Macaca mulatta: one gene and its partners. The protein of the gene in region 3 interacts with the protein of the main gene of each other region in a pairwise test. Links are inferred from orthologs where the notes say so. Each region holds a gene or a part of one and is shown on either strand. Other genes may lie near its edges.

What was found. The genes of interacting proteins can lie anywhere in the genome.
Region 1: the proteins of SPINK7 (region 3) and RABL6 interact in binary tests that used the Homo sapiens proteins (3 or more experiments, as listed by UniProt). The link is inferred for Macaca mulatta from reciprocal best matches to the Homo sapiens genes SPINK7 and RABL6.
Region 2: the proteins of SPINK7 (region 3) and MT2A interact in binary tests that used the Homo sapiens proteins (3 or more experiments, as listed by UniProt). The link is inferred for Macaca mulatta from reciprocal best matches to the Homo sapiens genes SPINK7 and MT2A.

What each region holds. Positions count from the first base shown.
Region 1 is NC_133420.1:5,658,858-5,663,752, forward strand, and holds the start of RABL6 (rab-like protein 6), read right to left. Parts: upstream 3,209-4,895; 5' UTR 2,952-3,208; coding exon 2,822-2,951; intron 1,780-2,821; exon of another isoform or gene 1,611-1,779; intron 1,468-1,610; exon of another isoform or gene 1,090-1,467; intron 1-1,089. Other genes in the region: CCDC183 (coiled-coil domain-containing protein 183), read right to left, coding at 3,445-3,563, 4,065-4,161, 4,264-4,374, 4,459-4,627, 4,889-4,895. UniProt on the Homo sapiens protein: May enhance cellular proliferation. May reduce growth inhibitory activity of CDKN2A.
Region 2 is NC_133425.1:52,179,045-52,182,600, reverse strand, and holds MT2A (metallothionein-2), read right to left. Parts: upstream 1,809-3,556; 5' UTR 1,747-1,808; coding exon 1,719-1,746; intron 1,411-1,718; coding exon 1,345-1,410; intron 1,139-1,344; coding exon 1,047-1,138; 3' UTR 909-1,046; downstream 1-908. UniProt on the Homo sapiens protein: Metallothioneins have a high content of cysteine residues that bind various heavy metals; these proteins are transcriptionally regulated by both heavy metals and glucocorticoids.
Region 3 is NC_133411.1:157,292,349-157,297,503, reverse strand, and holds the start of SPINK7 (serine protease inhibitor Kazal-type 7), read right to left. Parts: upstream 2,974-5,155; 5' UTR 2,896-2,973; coding exon 2,835-2,895; intron 2,018-2,834; coding exon 1,992-2,017; intron 1,280-1,991; coding exon 1,155-1,279; intron 1-1,154. UniProt on the Homo sapiens protein: Probable serine protease inhibitor.

The sequences.
Region 1 (4,895 bases), on a different chromosome or scaffold from region 3:
GCGGCTCAAAAATAAATCTCTTCAAATATTAGACAGAGTTTGACTTTTTTTTTTAATCAACTATAGCCCAATGTCTCATTCGAGTTTTCATTCTAAAACCGATGGGTGTCCTGGGCCTCTGCCGGGCCGCTAGTGACTCTGAGCAAACGCAGGGCCCAGGAGGAGGGCCCAGACTCCTGGAAACCAGCAGCAGTTCCTGGAAACTCTCATCCCTAAAAACCCTCATCTCTGTCTTGGTCACACTGCTGGTCTGTTACCCTCTGTAAAATATTTGAGAAAATAAATATTAGAAGGCCAGGCGCGGTGGCTCACGCCTATAATCCCAGCACTTTGGGAGGCCGAGGCAGGAGGATCACGAGGTCAGGAAATCAAGACCATCCTGGCTAACACAGTGAAACCCTGTCTCTACTAAAAATACAAAAAATTAGCCGGGCAAGGTGGCGGCGCCTGTAGTCCCAGCTACTCGGGAGGTTGGGGCAGGAGAATGGCATGAACCCGGGAGGTGGAGCTTGCAGTGAGCCGAGATCACACCACTGCACTCCAGCCTGGGCGACAGAGCGAGACTCCGTCTCAAAAAAAAAAAAAGAGATAAGAAAATAAATACTAGACACTTTCTATTTTAACACAGAAACTCAAAAGTTAAAAAACTACATATTATTCAACTATAAAGACGACATCTTTCTAAAATGTAATTTAGGTACAAATCCGAATTTCTCTCAGTCTCACCACCTTTCATTCAGTTCTAGGAGATCATAACCTGTCCTCCAAGTACTGGAGACTGGCTTTTCTCCTCTGGAAGGACCCTATTGCCCTTTTTAGTCACACTCGCAGGGGTGGTCCTGGTGCGTAAGGTGGACCTCACCCAGGACCCTTGGGGAGCCTTTTCAGAAGGTGAACAGTTTCCAGGTCCAGGCCTAATTTCCCAGGGACTAATACTGAGCTTAGCCAATATTATAAGCAATAAAATTAAATAAAGGATCCAAATGCAGAGTCTAAAGACTTGCATAAACTCAGTATTTTAACTCAATATTCTCTTCTCCGAATGCCAGATATACATAAAGTTTCAATTATAACACATTTAAAATGAGCTTTTATTTTTATTCAAAATGTACCGCTTTATTTTCCTTACCAGACAGCAGAGCACTAAGCAGGTTCCAGTCACGTGACTTCTTCAGCGAGCCCCCAGGCTTCCACAGGAGTCCGGGAGCTCCGGCCAGAGGAATCCTGAGATTGCAAATAGTCAAGCCTTCTCCCCAGCCACAAGTTCCTTTGATACTTGGGTTACTGAACACAAACACAATGGATAATTTGTCTTCAACATAATCCATTTCTGTTCCTAAACGTGTTAGCTGCGCCTTCTTTCCGATGAGCACTCTGACTCCAATTTGAACTTCATCAAAATGTCCTTTGTCTTCGTATGCTCTAGAGTATAAGAAAGGCCAATACGGCCCCTGGTTCGGACACGAACTTTTTTTTTTAATTTTTTTTTTTTTTTGTATCTTTAGTAGAGACGGGGTTTCACTATGTTGGCTAAGCTAGTCTCGAACTCCTGACCTCGTGATCCGCCCGCCTCGGCCTCCCAAAGTGCTGGGATTACAGGCATGAGCCACCATGCCCGGCCCGGACACCAACTTTCATACCTAGATGCTCAGACTTATCTTTAAGAAGTTGTTTTATCTTGCTTACTGCTGAAGGTGTCAGGGTGAGGGCGGCCCAAGTGGTCTGCAGCTTCCTCTTGCTCACAGGCCAGACGGTGGCCGGGACTAAGGAAGGCGACATCTTCACTGTCCTCCTGGACTAGCTCCAGTCCAGTCCCTACGGCCAAGAACTACGGCCCATCTCCGTGGACACGGCAGGCGAATTCATGAACTTGTTTTTAAACCTGCACAAGAGTCTTTCTGATTATTAGTTCTTAAAATCGTATATTACCATAGAAACATCGCGCAGACTATAAGGCTCCCCTTAAGGTGACCAAAAAACTGGACAGGCGTAGCGTCCTAATATCTGATAGAAACATACGGAAATGGCTAAGAGGGAAACAATGCCAAAGCAGGGAACGACATAAAACCGTTTAAAAACTACTGGGAAAGAGCCTGCAAAACGGAAAAACTCAAAAGAGGTCGAGGACAATTTACATAATTTATAACAAAGGAATGGAGCGTCCCAGGCGCTCAGGAGTCCGTAAATGACTCCTCCTCAGGAGGAATGGGCTGTCTCCTACAATCGCAAGTCAGTCCGTGCCTTCTGGAGCTTTTCTAGATACGTCCCTTACAAATGCTTCTTTAAAAAAAAACAAACAAAAAGACGAGAATGTGTGGCGTAGCTAATATTCTGCCTTCGAACTCAGTAGGAAGTCAACAAAGAAAAATCCCGTTGAAAGCGCCAAGGCCGGCAGGTTTCCCCGCACCTCCTCCAGGTGAGAGGTGCCCGGGGCTGGCCACCGTGGAGCGTCGGGGACGCGGCGCCCCGGGTCGGCGGGCCCTGCTTGGCGTTATGTAATCACCGCCGGGCCGGCAGCCGGGCCAATCCCGGCACCGCCGACCCGCTCCACTGCACAGCGCGGCGGGAGCGACACGCGGCAGGCGAACGCGGTTGGGAAACGACCCCCGGCTCCGGTGATGCGAGGACCCAGCCCCGGCCCGGCCTCTCCTAGCGTCCCCTGGCCCGCGCCCCAGCTCCCGGAGCGCCCGGCGGGTCCAGCGCACCCCACAACCGGCAAGCAGGCGAGACCGACAGCCACCACCGCGCGGCGCTCCGGGCAGGGCCTGGGCTCGGAGACCCGCGCGGCGCTCCCGCGCCCACCCCGGCCCGCCGCACTCACTGTTGTACTGCACCCCCTTGGCGAAGCGCCTCTGCAACGCCTGGTTCATGGACTGCAGCCCGGCGGGGATGTTCTTGTCCCGGCCCGGGGCCTGCTCCGACCCCACTAGCTTCTTCAGGGCGGAAAACATCTTCCCGCTTGGACGTCCCAGCCCGGGCGCGGCCGGCGAGCTCAGCGGCGGCGGGGAAGGGGTGCGACTCGCACCATGTCCCGGCGGCCCCGGTCCCCCCGGAGGCCGGAGCCGGCGCGGTCAGAGACCGGGGCGCAGCCTCGAGCGGTGACTCGGGAACCTCAGCGGCTGCTGCTCCGCTCGGGCCCCCGCGGCCTCCGGCGCGGCCACTCTCCAGGCGTCAGCGCCGCCATCTTGGCGCCGGCTCGGCGGGACGCGAGGGGCGCGCGGCTACAGGGCGTCGCGAGGGCCATGGGGCGCGGCGCCCGCGGCCGGCGCATGCGCAGGCCGTTCTGGCGCGCAGTTCCCGGCCCGGGCCGCCTCCCCGCTTAGAACTTCTCCGAGAATCCTGCGTGCCCGGTGCTCCTCTCCGAGAGCCCGGTCGCCCCAGCGTCCGCAGCAGTCCTGGAAAAATGTTTATTTGTGTAACAAAGCAGGGAGCGGGGCGGCGGGGCTACTTCTTCTTCTTCTTGGCCGCCTTGAGCTTCGCCTCGATCAGCCGCTGCGCCTGCTTCTTGATCTCGGCGCGCGAAGGGACGTAGCTGTGGTCCACGTCGGCGAACTGGAAGGTGTCTGCGGGCGGAGGCAGCGGCTCGCACCCGGGGCTAGCCCACCCAGGCACAGCCGCCCGACCCGCCTATCACCCCCGCCCTCTACAGACCCAAGCCAGGTGCCTTGCCCCAGGGACAGCCCCAGTGTGCCGGGAGGACTCAGCCCAGCCCATCCTCAGCGGCTCACACTGCCCTGCTTAGCCTTTCTCGCGGAAACCCCAGTGGAGGCTCTGGCCCAGGCCTTCCCCGCCCTCCTCCCTGCTCCAGCCCTGGTGCCTCTCCTGCGGGCCTGTCTGGCATGTCATGCCTCCTCCTTTCGGAGAAATTAATAAGGTATTTCAGTGGCTTTAGCCTCCCCATGGCATCACTAAGTCACCTCCATCAATTGAAGTCCTGCAGGTACAACTGATGCACCCTGTAGCCCCGCTGTGCCTCCAGGATATCCCGGTGGGATGGGAGTCAGCGCCACCCCCACCTCTGTTCCACCCGCCTGCAGCCCGAGCCCCAGCTCCGGAGCCTGTACCGATCATATCCTCCTCGCGGTCCTCAAAGCTGATCCTGGTGTTGTACTTCTCCTTCAGAGTCGAGGACTCCAGGGCATTCCTCACCTTTGTGTCACCCTGCAGGGCAAAGCCCCCTTCAGCCGTGCAGACACTGTGAACGGGGGGCTGTCAGCTTTGAGGGGATGTGGGCTGTGCAGGTTCCTCCCAGCCCGGGGCTACCTCCTCGGTCCTGGACATCGTCTGCACTCTGTCAGCCAGGTATGTGAGCTTCCCCTCGCAGTACGCCAGCTTGCTGTTCAAATCGAGGGTGTCGGAGGGCACTTCTTCTTTCTGTAGGCCGGGAGGAGGGTCTCATCTCCCCTCTGGCCCTGCCCAGGGACCCCATGTGTGGCAGCTCCGCCTCACTCCCGGTACCTGGGTTGCAGGCAAGGTGATGCCCATTAGCCGGACATAGAGGTTGTCGATGCCCGTCTGGATGGTTAGCAGCAGCTTCTGGCCCTTGGTCATGTTGCTCTGCGCGAGCTGGAGCCTCTCTTCTTCCTCTTTTAACATGTCTGTCATCTTCTTCTCAATGGACTTGAAGCTGCAGAAGGCAATAGGGACACAGCAGTGAGGGGCACAGGCCCGAGGGCCATGGTGGGCCACCCAGGAGCCCGGTCTTGAGTTGGGTTCCGTGTTAGAGTCAGGGACTCAGAAGCTCAGGTGTGTGCAAGTCCCCCGGCCCCTCTGTGGGACACACAGGCTTGTTGGCAGTGGGTACACTCCCAGCTCCCAGCCTGGCTGCAGCCCAGGGGCCTTCATGAGACCATGGTGGGTGACCCACAGCCCCGGAAGCCCGGGGCACCTGATGG
Region 2 (3,556 bases), on a different chromosome or scaffold from region 3:
TGATCACACACACTGCATCTTGCTGGGAACATGCTGGGCATTTCCCTCCACATCCCCAGCCACTTTGCTGGTTTAAGTAGCCAACGGCTGAAATTTGAGAGAAGTAATTTCAGCCTGACCTTGGGAGGAACTTACAAAGACTCAGAACCAAGGCAAAACGGGGAGCTCTCAGGGGTCTGAAAGTGTCCTGTCAGTGACACTGGGCAGGACAAGCCTGATGGTTCCTTGTGGGGATGTCTGGATCAGTGCTGCTCAGGGTGTGCCAGCCACACACTGGGGCTAGTCTGAGAACTGTTACCAGGATGCAACACACAACTTTGGACAAATGTGTAGTGTTGATCATTCTTTTATTTTTCCTATGTTAATTTGTTCTCCATATATTTGTTGAACATTTCCTGTTGAATCTAAAAAACGGTCTTTGTATTTTGTGTCCTTTAAGCATTCATTTTCTTATTAACTCATTATTTTACCAGAGTTTAGGTCTGTGACTAATGGAAAACAAAACTGGTCATTCACCACAGGGAGTTTGGGAAACCGGATGTCAGATTCTAGCCACTGGGGAGCTGGATTTCACCCTCTGCAGTCACTTTCAAGTCTAAAATCCCACGAAGAACTGAAGTTGGGCAGGGAAATCAGAAAGTGAAAATGAGGAATGGAGAAGTTTCTGTGCCATATTTGACATGAAACTGAAAGTGATCACGTATGTGTCCCTCCTGCCCCCATACGATCTGGCTCAACGCCATTCAGTTTTACAGAAGATGAAGTTCAGTGCGGTAGCCTGGCTTGCTAGAATGCACTCTTTCTTAGCGGCTCACATTTCCATCCACAGCCCAGGTAGAGCCCTCTCAGTTCCATCGCTCAACCCAGTCCATTATTTTTAAGGCATATAAAGGAAACCAGAGGCAGAATCACGTCAAAGCTGTTTTATTATCATTCATATTATTTCATAGAAAAAGGAATGCAGCAAACGATCAGGGTTGTACATAAAAAAATCCAGGTTTGTAGAGGTCGCATTATTTACATCTGGGAGCAGGGCTGTCCCAGCATCAGGCGCAGCAGTTGCACTTGTCCGACGCCCCTTTGCAGATGCAGCCCTGGGCACACTTGGCACAGCCCACAGGGCAGCAGGAGCAGCAGCCTGGAGGCAGAGAGGAGGCGGCAGAGATGAGTACTAGGGACACAGGGAATAAGGATTCCTGCTTTCCCTGATAAGGATCACTGAGGAGGCAACAACTTCCGCGTAATGGGGCATCCCCAGACTGCTTTCATTCCCCTGAGGATGGTGGAGAGGGGACAGGCTGGGAGGACAGTGAGGGGTTAGAGGAAAGAGAGAATCCCACTTACTTTTCTTGCAGGAGGTGCATTTGCACTCTTTGCACTTGCAGGAGCCGGCGCAGGTGCAGGAGTCACCTGCAAGGAGAAAAGACAGAGGTGATAACGGTCCCTGGATACCTGAACGTGGGACGGCGTGCTAAGAGCCCGGGGCAGAGTTCCTCTGTCCACAACCGATTCCTGGGAACTTGAGCAAGCCATTAACTCAGATCTCCTTAACGGTAAAAGGAGGGCTCCGAATAACCTAGAATGGATTGAAAAATACCCTAAAACGCTTTGGGAAGGAGCAACTCCTGTCCTGAAATTGAGTGATCAGAGAAAGAAAGAGGGGTCAGAAATTGCTTCTCTAGCGCTACAGTCTATACTTGGCATCCCCAGCCCCTTACCGGCGACGCAAGAGCAGTTGGGATCCATGGCGAGTTGAAGAGGCGGCTGGAGTCGGGACAGGTTGCACGCGGGCTCGCTGGGACTTGGAGGAGGCGTGGTGGAGCGGAGCGCTGCGAGCAGTGTTTATAGCTGAAAAGAGCCGGAACGAGTGCAAAAGCCCCGCCCCGGCCGGGCGCTGCCTGCACACGCCCCGCGCTGAGTCACTCGCGGCTCCCAGCTAAACACCCGGCTGCGCGCACCGGGCCGGGCGCACCCGGCCTGCACACGGACCGCGGGAGGTCAGTTCCCTGAAGCCCGCCCACGTGCGCCCCGGGGACGCCTCGGGGCGGAAGGACCTGGGTGCAGCGGCAGGACACGGTGTACCGGGAGGACACGGTGTACCGGGAGGACACGGTGTACCGGGTGCCCACGCCGTGCGCCCCCGCCGTATGCACAGCTTCCCTCCCTCCTGTCGTGTACTCGAACCTGAGCCGTTAGCGCGCGGGTGAAAGCGGGACTTGGGAATGCTGCTTGCGTGGAAAACTGGTTGGAAGTGCAGACAGGTTACAACTCTGCGGCAGTCAAGGCTTAATAATTGTGCAGCATCACAGTAAACCCGTGGAGTTGTTACTGATGACGTATCCGTTGCATGTTGAGTACTTGAGCGTGCAACAGGGACCGTAGGAAGTGTGTTGTGTGTGAGATATCACTTCATTCTGCAACAACCCATAAGATAAGGACTCTCCCATATTCTCATCGTAGAGAGGAGAAACTGCAGGTCCAGAGAAGTTACTTGTCCAGGGTCACACAGCTAGTGAGTGGCAGAGCAGGGTGAATGCGACCAGGCCCCAGCAGATGCTGACGGTCCTCTAACATAGAGACACCAAGGAGGGAGAATAAGGACAAGAAGCCACAAGCTTGGTCCTCAGGAAGCTCAGGGGCTGGGGGAACAGAGAGGAGGAGACCCCATCCAGCCTGGGAGGAGGTGGGCCATTGCCTTGGGCCTGAGGGTAAGAAGGTGTTTGCCAGGCAGGGAGGGGGAAGGATTTGTGTTCTGGCCTGGGAAGGGAAGAACTAGCGGGAACACTGGGATCGCCCTGAGACATTTGAAAGGGAAAACCCCCACAAGAATGTTCTTCCCCTGTGGAGGCTGAGGGGAAGAGCCCAGGTGGCATCCAGATTCCTGTCTGGAGAGGCACATCCTGCCTCCCTGTCTGCACGTGTCTGGCGCTGTGTAAGGGTCTTAGATCATCAACCTCGGAAAGCCCGAAGTGTGTCATGCTAGGAGTCAGGAAGCGGTTACTGGAAGCTTCCTGGCAGGCTTAGGAAATGCTGATTGCCGCAGTGGGAGTTTAGTGAGGTGGTGGGGCGGGGGCGGGGAGGACAGGCTGTCCTTGCAACCCTTACTGTAAGTTCCTGTGGAAACGTCTTCCTAGCTCAGCCGAATCTCACTTCCTCTGGGGACCCTGTCCTGGCCCCCATGACTGTGGCTGCCCGTGGAGGTGCTGGTAAACATCCTGTTCATTCCCCTCCTGGCGCTTTCCACGCCTGTGGTATGTATAAACTGTGGGGACTCTTGGATTGGTGTCTCTGCCCCTCCTCACCAACCCCTGACCACTGGAAACGCCAAGGGCAGTCATCGCCTGCCTCTGGAATTGTGTCTTCAGCTTCTAACACAGGGCCAAGTTTGCAGTAGATGCTTAATAAATATTTGTCAAATGAATTCATGAGGGTAATGGCCTGGATTGTTCTTCCCTTCCCAGCCCCCACCTTGTATGAAGGCCGACTACAAAATGAAAATAAACACCTCTGCACCACCCTGGGACCTGTGTGCTCACTCAAGTAAAAACACCGCACA
Region 3 (5,155 bases):
AACAAAGAAAGAGTATTCTGACAAAGCAAATTGAGAGGGCCTGTCTCTCAGCTTTTCCTGGTCAGCAAGGCCTTTGACGAAGCTGGATCCTGCATTAGTGAGAAGGACTTTCACCATGCTTCCCTTCAGTGTCCCTTGAAAACAGCTAGTTTCCACGCCAAGGGCTAGTTTCCCAGTCTGCCTATGTTACAGAATTTTCCCTTTTGTGAAATAAAACCTCCCGAACAGGAATAAATACATAAATATGTCCTTTTGGGCTCAGGGCTTGTTATTCTCACTTGTTAAGATAATCACAAAGATGAAAATGCAAGATCTAGGTGTCCAAAATCCAGTGGCCTAAAAGAGTTAACAATGATCACAGTGGACTCGGTATGAGAGAGTTAAGTGCAATTTGCATGTCTTGTACCAAAGAAGTGACATCTGCCTAGCTACATTTCTGCAAAAACATTTTGTGGGCCAAACAAAATACCTAAACAAAACATGTCCGTGGTATTCTGGTCCAAATCCTGACAGCTTGCATCCCTTATTTTAGATAAAGGAAAAACAATCATTTTTGTAGGCTTATTCCCCCTTAAAGCTACAGATATATGGAGCCTCTAAGAATTTGAAGATAAAGAACCTCTAGGCACACTTTATCTAAGAATCAAGCTGCACTAAGACTGTTAAGTATCTTAGAAGTCAGGTAGTATAGTAGTTTTCAATTATTTTTGGGGGGATGGGGAGTTCAGGGCCCTTTCTTCAAACATGATATTGTATGGCACTCCACTGCTTAAAATAGTCCAAGCTGAACTTTATGTTGTAAACTACCCCAAATGGTCCCTTTAACCCTAATAGCGACTCCTGACTTGCCTCTATAGAACCTCTGTGCTCTGGGGACAGCAGTTTGAGAATCCACCATCTTACTGGATTCTCACAATTGACAGACAGGAATTGTAGGTTCTGTGATGGGATGGAACCAGTCCAAGCTGTCAGAGCAGGTGACTCTACCCTGTCTGATTGTGAAACAGTCAGTTTTTTTTCCCCACCTGCTGTTCTGGGTGGGGATAATTATAAATTATAGCTTATAGAGATGTAAGCTGGATCCTGGAAAGTAGAAAGGTTTGTAGTAGAGAGCACTGGCTCCAGATCTCATTTTCTTCTTATGAGGTACTCACAAGCTCTCAGTACACAAGTGACATTCATTCCCATAGGTGATGTAGTCAGAACCACAAACTGGCAGGTATGTGATGGGACAGGGGATGGCCACCACTGGATACTTCTTGTAAATGCTGCAGTCCACCTGTGTCATACACAAGCAAATGTCCTGTTTTTCTCCAAGACCGCAAGCTAGGCTACTCTGTCCACTATTAGATATACTACAAGGGCTGGAAGTCCCAGCTCAGATAATCAGATGTTGCTTGGCCACTTCTGTAAGTACTAGTGTTATCACTATTACAAATACTAGCACTATTGGTATTCTATGTTTTTCTACTACACTCAGTTAAAATTGCTGGGCGTTTCTGGGCTAGGCATCAAACTTAAATCTTATGTGAATTTTCTTGTTTAATCTTCAGAACAACTAGAGCAAATTCTACTATTACCTCTCTTTACAAATGTGGAAATTAAAGCTTAGAAATAGAGATAACTTTTTGAAGATAAATGCTGGTAAGTAGTAGAGTTAGTATTTGAACCCAGAGTCTGTGCAATTTATCAAAGTACTTTTTCCCTGCCTTTTACACGTGATGCCTTTTATGAAAACATTGCCAACCTTTCAGCTGGAAGGCAATTCTCCCTCCTTTAACTCTGGAATTTTTAAAAAACATTTTTAAAATATGGTTGTTTATATGTATGCCATATTTCTTCAATTGCCTTCTGGAAAGCAGATACCATTTCTCCACGTGTGTTTGCCTCCTTCTCAAATCCCCTGAAACATACTGAATTTATCCTACATATATGTTGACTAAATGACAGTCAATTGTTATTGACATTAAAATGTTATTCAACATACTTACTTTTTTTGAAGACAGACTAGCAGCTTCTGAAAAAGAGATATAGATGAAAATGTTAAAAATAAAGCGAACTTTAAATCTCATTAATTAAGTTTCATCCTATATAATGACTCTACATTTCCTTTAGCAATGAGATTTAGCACACTCTCCACCCTTATGCAAAATCCTAGTTGTTTGCTGAGGAAGTTGAATGACCAGTGGGTTAGGTTAACCCTTGGTTTAGGCAAGAAAATTATCAAAATTTCCTCTCTTTGTTGATCACAGGATGTTTTCTGAACCTCATAGTGTTTTTGATAATGGCCAAAGTCAGGTAGTAATAAGAAGTATTAAAATAATCACTCCTAAGAGCCTGAAGGATCATTTCTGATATCCTTTCCTTCCCAATTGACATAAAGAAATGCAATGGAATGTCTTTATGGGATTGGAAACACTAATTAATTTTTCAAAGTATAAAAGTCTGATTGTTGACCCTTGGCTTTTTGAGACTTGTGTTTTATTTTAATCCCTCCAAACTGATTTGGGAAGACATCCAAGTTTTTCTGTATCTTTGCACTAAGAAATAGTATATCTAATAACACTGACAACTTCCAGTGTCCATATGAACATATGAAATGGAAGACTTATGGAGAAATTAGATGATTTTTGTTCTATGGATGCAAATAAGAATCCTTGAAAGACATTGGACTCAAGTCTCTCAAACTCCAGATGGAGCATAAGATCCTATTACAAACCAGTACACTTTAAATTCTTACAACCAGATGTTTCTGAGATGCTCACATCCCAGGAGGGATTATTTGTGAAAACAAGCTTAATGGCTATATAGGGCGTCGTCTGACCTTAACTTACCTGAGCTGCTACAGAAATAGAACACTGTGCAGAGCAGAAGGAGACCCCCAATGATCTTCATGCTGGAAATGGCTGTGGTGCAGAAGCTGCTCTGAGATTGTCACTACAGCTGCATCGACCATAGCCCAGGAAAGGGGTCATGTTTATATATATGCAAGGCTTGGTTTCTCCACCTTTCCTGTGAGGTCATCCAGAGGATCTCAAAGGAGGGTGCCACACCCTGGGCTGTGTTACAGTCCTTGTTACTGAATTGCTACTTCTTATCTGACCAATGATTTGATTATTTGAGGTAAGAAGTATTTTCTATCTTTCCCAAAGGTGGGACTGGTAAGAATTCTAAACTTCATGTACTAGAAGAGACTAAGTATGAGCTTCTTGGCTTAGTTATGAAATAAGTGAAAATCTCAAACCTCCTTTATTTTACAAAACTGGAATCTATTAAACCCAGATTAGACTGATTACACCTATGTTTATATCTTGGCACCTGGGGAAATATTGTTTATTTTTGAGGCAATGAACCAATGAAGCAAACTGGGACCAAATGGAAGGAACACTGACATTAGCATTTATGAAGTATGGAGAAAAGCACTAACATATTACTTCTGATATTTTCTACCTGTATAATCTTGGATAAGTCGTTATATGCCGTGAGCCTTTATCAATCCAGAAGGCTTGGTTATGTTGTGATAACATGTAGCCACAAGATTTCTGTTAATTAAAACAAAACTTTGCTTTTTACTCAAGCTACACTTGTATGGTAGTCAGCTGATCATGCTACATTTGCCTTCACTGTGAATGCCAAGTGGACAGAGTCATCACTATTTGGAATACTGTAGTCAAGGTGAAGTGAAGATGAATTCTCAAGGAGTTCTCATTTTAGCAATTAAAACTTCCAGCCCAGAGCAATACTACTGTCACTTCCCCTCATGGTCTTGTGGCCGTCACATGCTTTGTGATGTATGGAGTGAGTGCAATCAATCTGATATGGTTTAGCTGTGTCTCCAACCAAATCCCATCTTGAATTGTAGCTCCCATAATTCCCATATGTTGTAGGAGGGACCTGGTGGGAGATAATTGAATCATGGAGGTAGTTTCCCCCATACTGTTCTCATGGAAGTGAATAGTCTCACGAGATCTGATGATTTTATAAGGGGTTTCCCCTTGCACTTGACCCTCATTCTCTCTTGCCTGCTGCCAGGTAAGACATGCCATTCACTTTCTGCCATGATTGTGAGGCCTCTCCAGCCATGTGGAACTGTGAGCCCATTAAACCTCTTTTTCTTTATAAATTACCCAGTCTTGGGTATTTCTTTATCAGCAGCTTGAAAACAGACTAATACACAGTCTTACCTTGTCCTGACTTGTTCCCTGACCTGAAGGTCAGATGAAGAACTAGAATAGTTGACAAACAGCAGAGATCATCCCAGAGACTGAGTTTCATCCAAGTCCAATAGAGCCTCTTGTTAGCCACAGTAGAGTTCACCTAATTATATACATAAAAGTCTGCTCTAAAGCATAGTGCATTTAATAATAATATTGTGATTGTTATTATTATTGACAAACCAAGAGTTAATGCTATGAGTTGCTGACATTAGATTGTAAACTGAATTGTCCATGCAAAAGTGTCCAAATAGCTGCAGTTTGCTTATTGAGTTTAAGGACGTAGTATGAAGACCTGGGGGAAGGCAGTAGACTGTCTCACTAGTTTACTGCTTGGCAGGTTTATTTTAGTACATTCTAAAACTAGCAACTACAAGATATATTAAGTGAATAATAAATGATATTGCACAATCTCCTAATATTTTACTCCTATACTTGTTTGAGAGTCAATGTAATCTAGTAGTTAAGAGCATGGGCATTGAGTAGATCTCATTTAGAATCTTTCTTCCAAAAAAATGTTGACTGTGTGTCTTTTAGTATTTAGGTTAACATCTGATACTTTAGTGTCTTCATCTTTATGACAGAAACAATATTTACTTCATAGGTTGTTTTGAGTGTTAAATTAGATTTTACAGACACACACACACTCTCTCACACACACATTATACAGTTGACTCTTGAACAACATGGGGTCCAGGGGTGCTGACACCACCACAGTTGAAAATTAACATACAATTTTTGATTTCTCAACAATTTAGCTATTAATAGCCTACTTTTGACCTTATTAATAAGATAAACAGTTAATGAACACATATTTTGTATGTTACATGAATTATATACTGTATTCCTACAACAAAGTAAGCTAGAAAAAAGAAAATGTTACTAAGAAAATTGTAAGGAAGAGAAAATATATTTACATTAATTAAGTGGAAATGGATCAT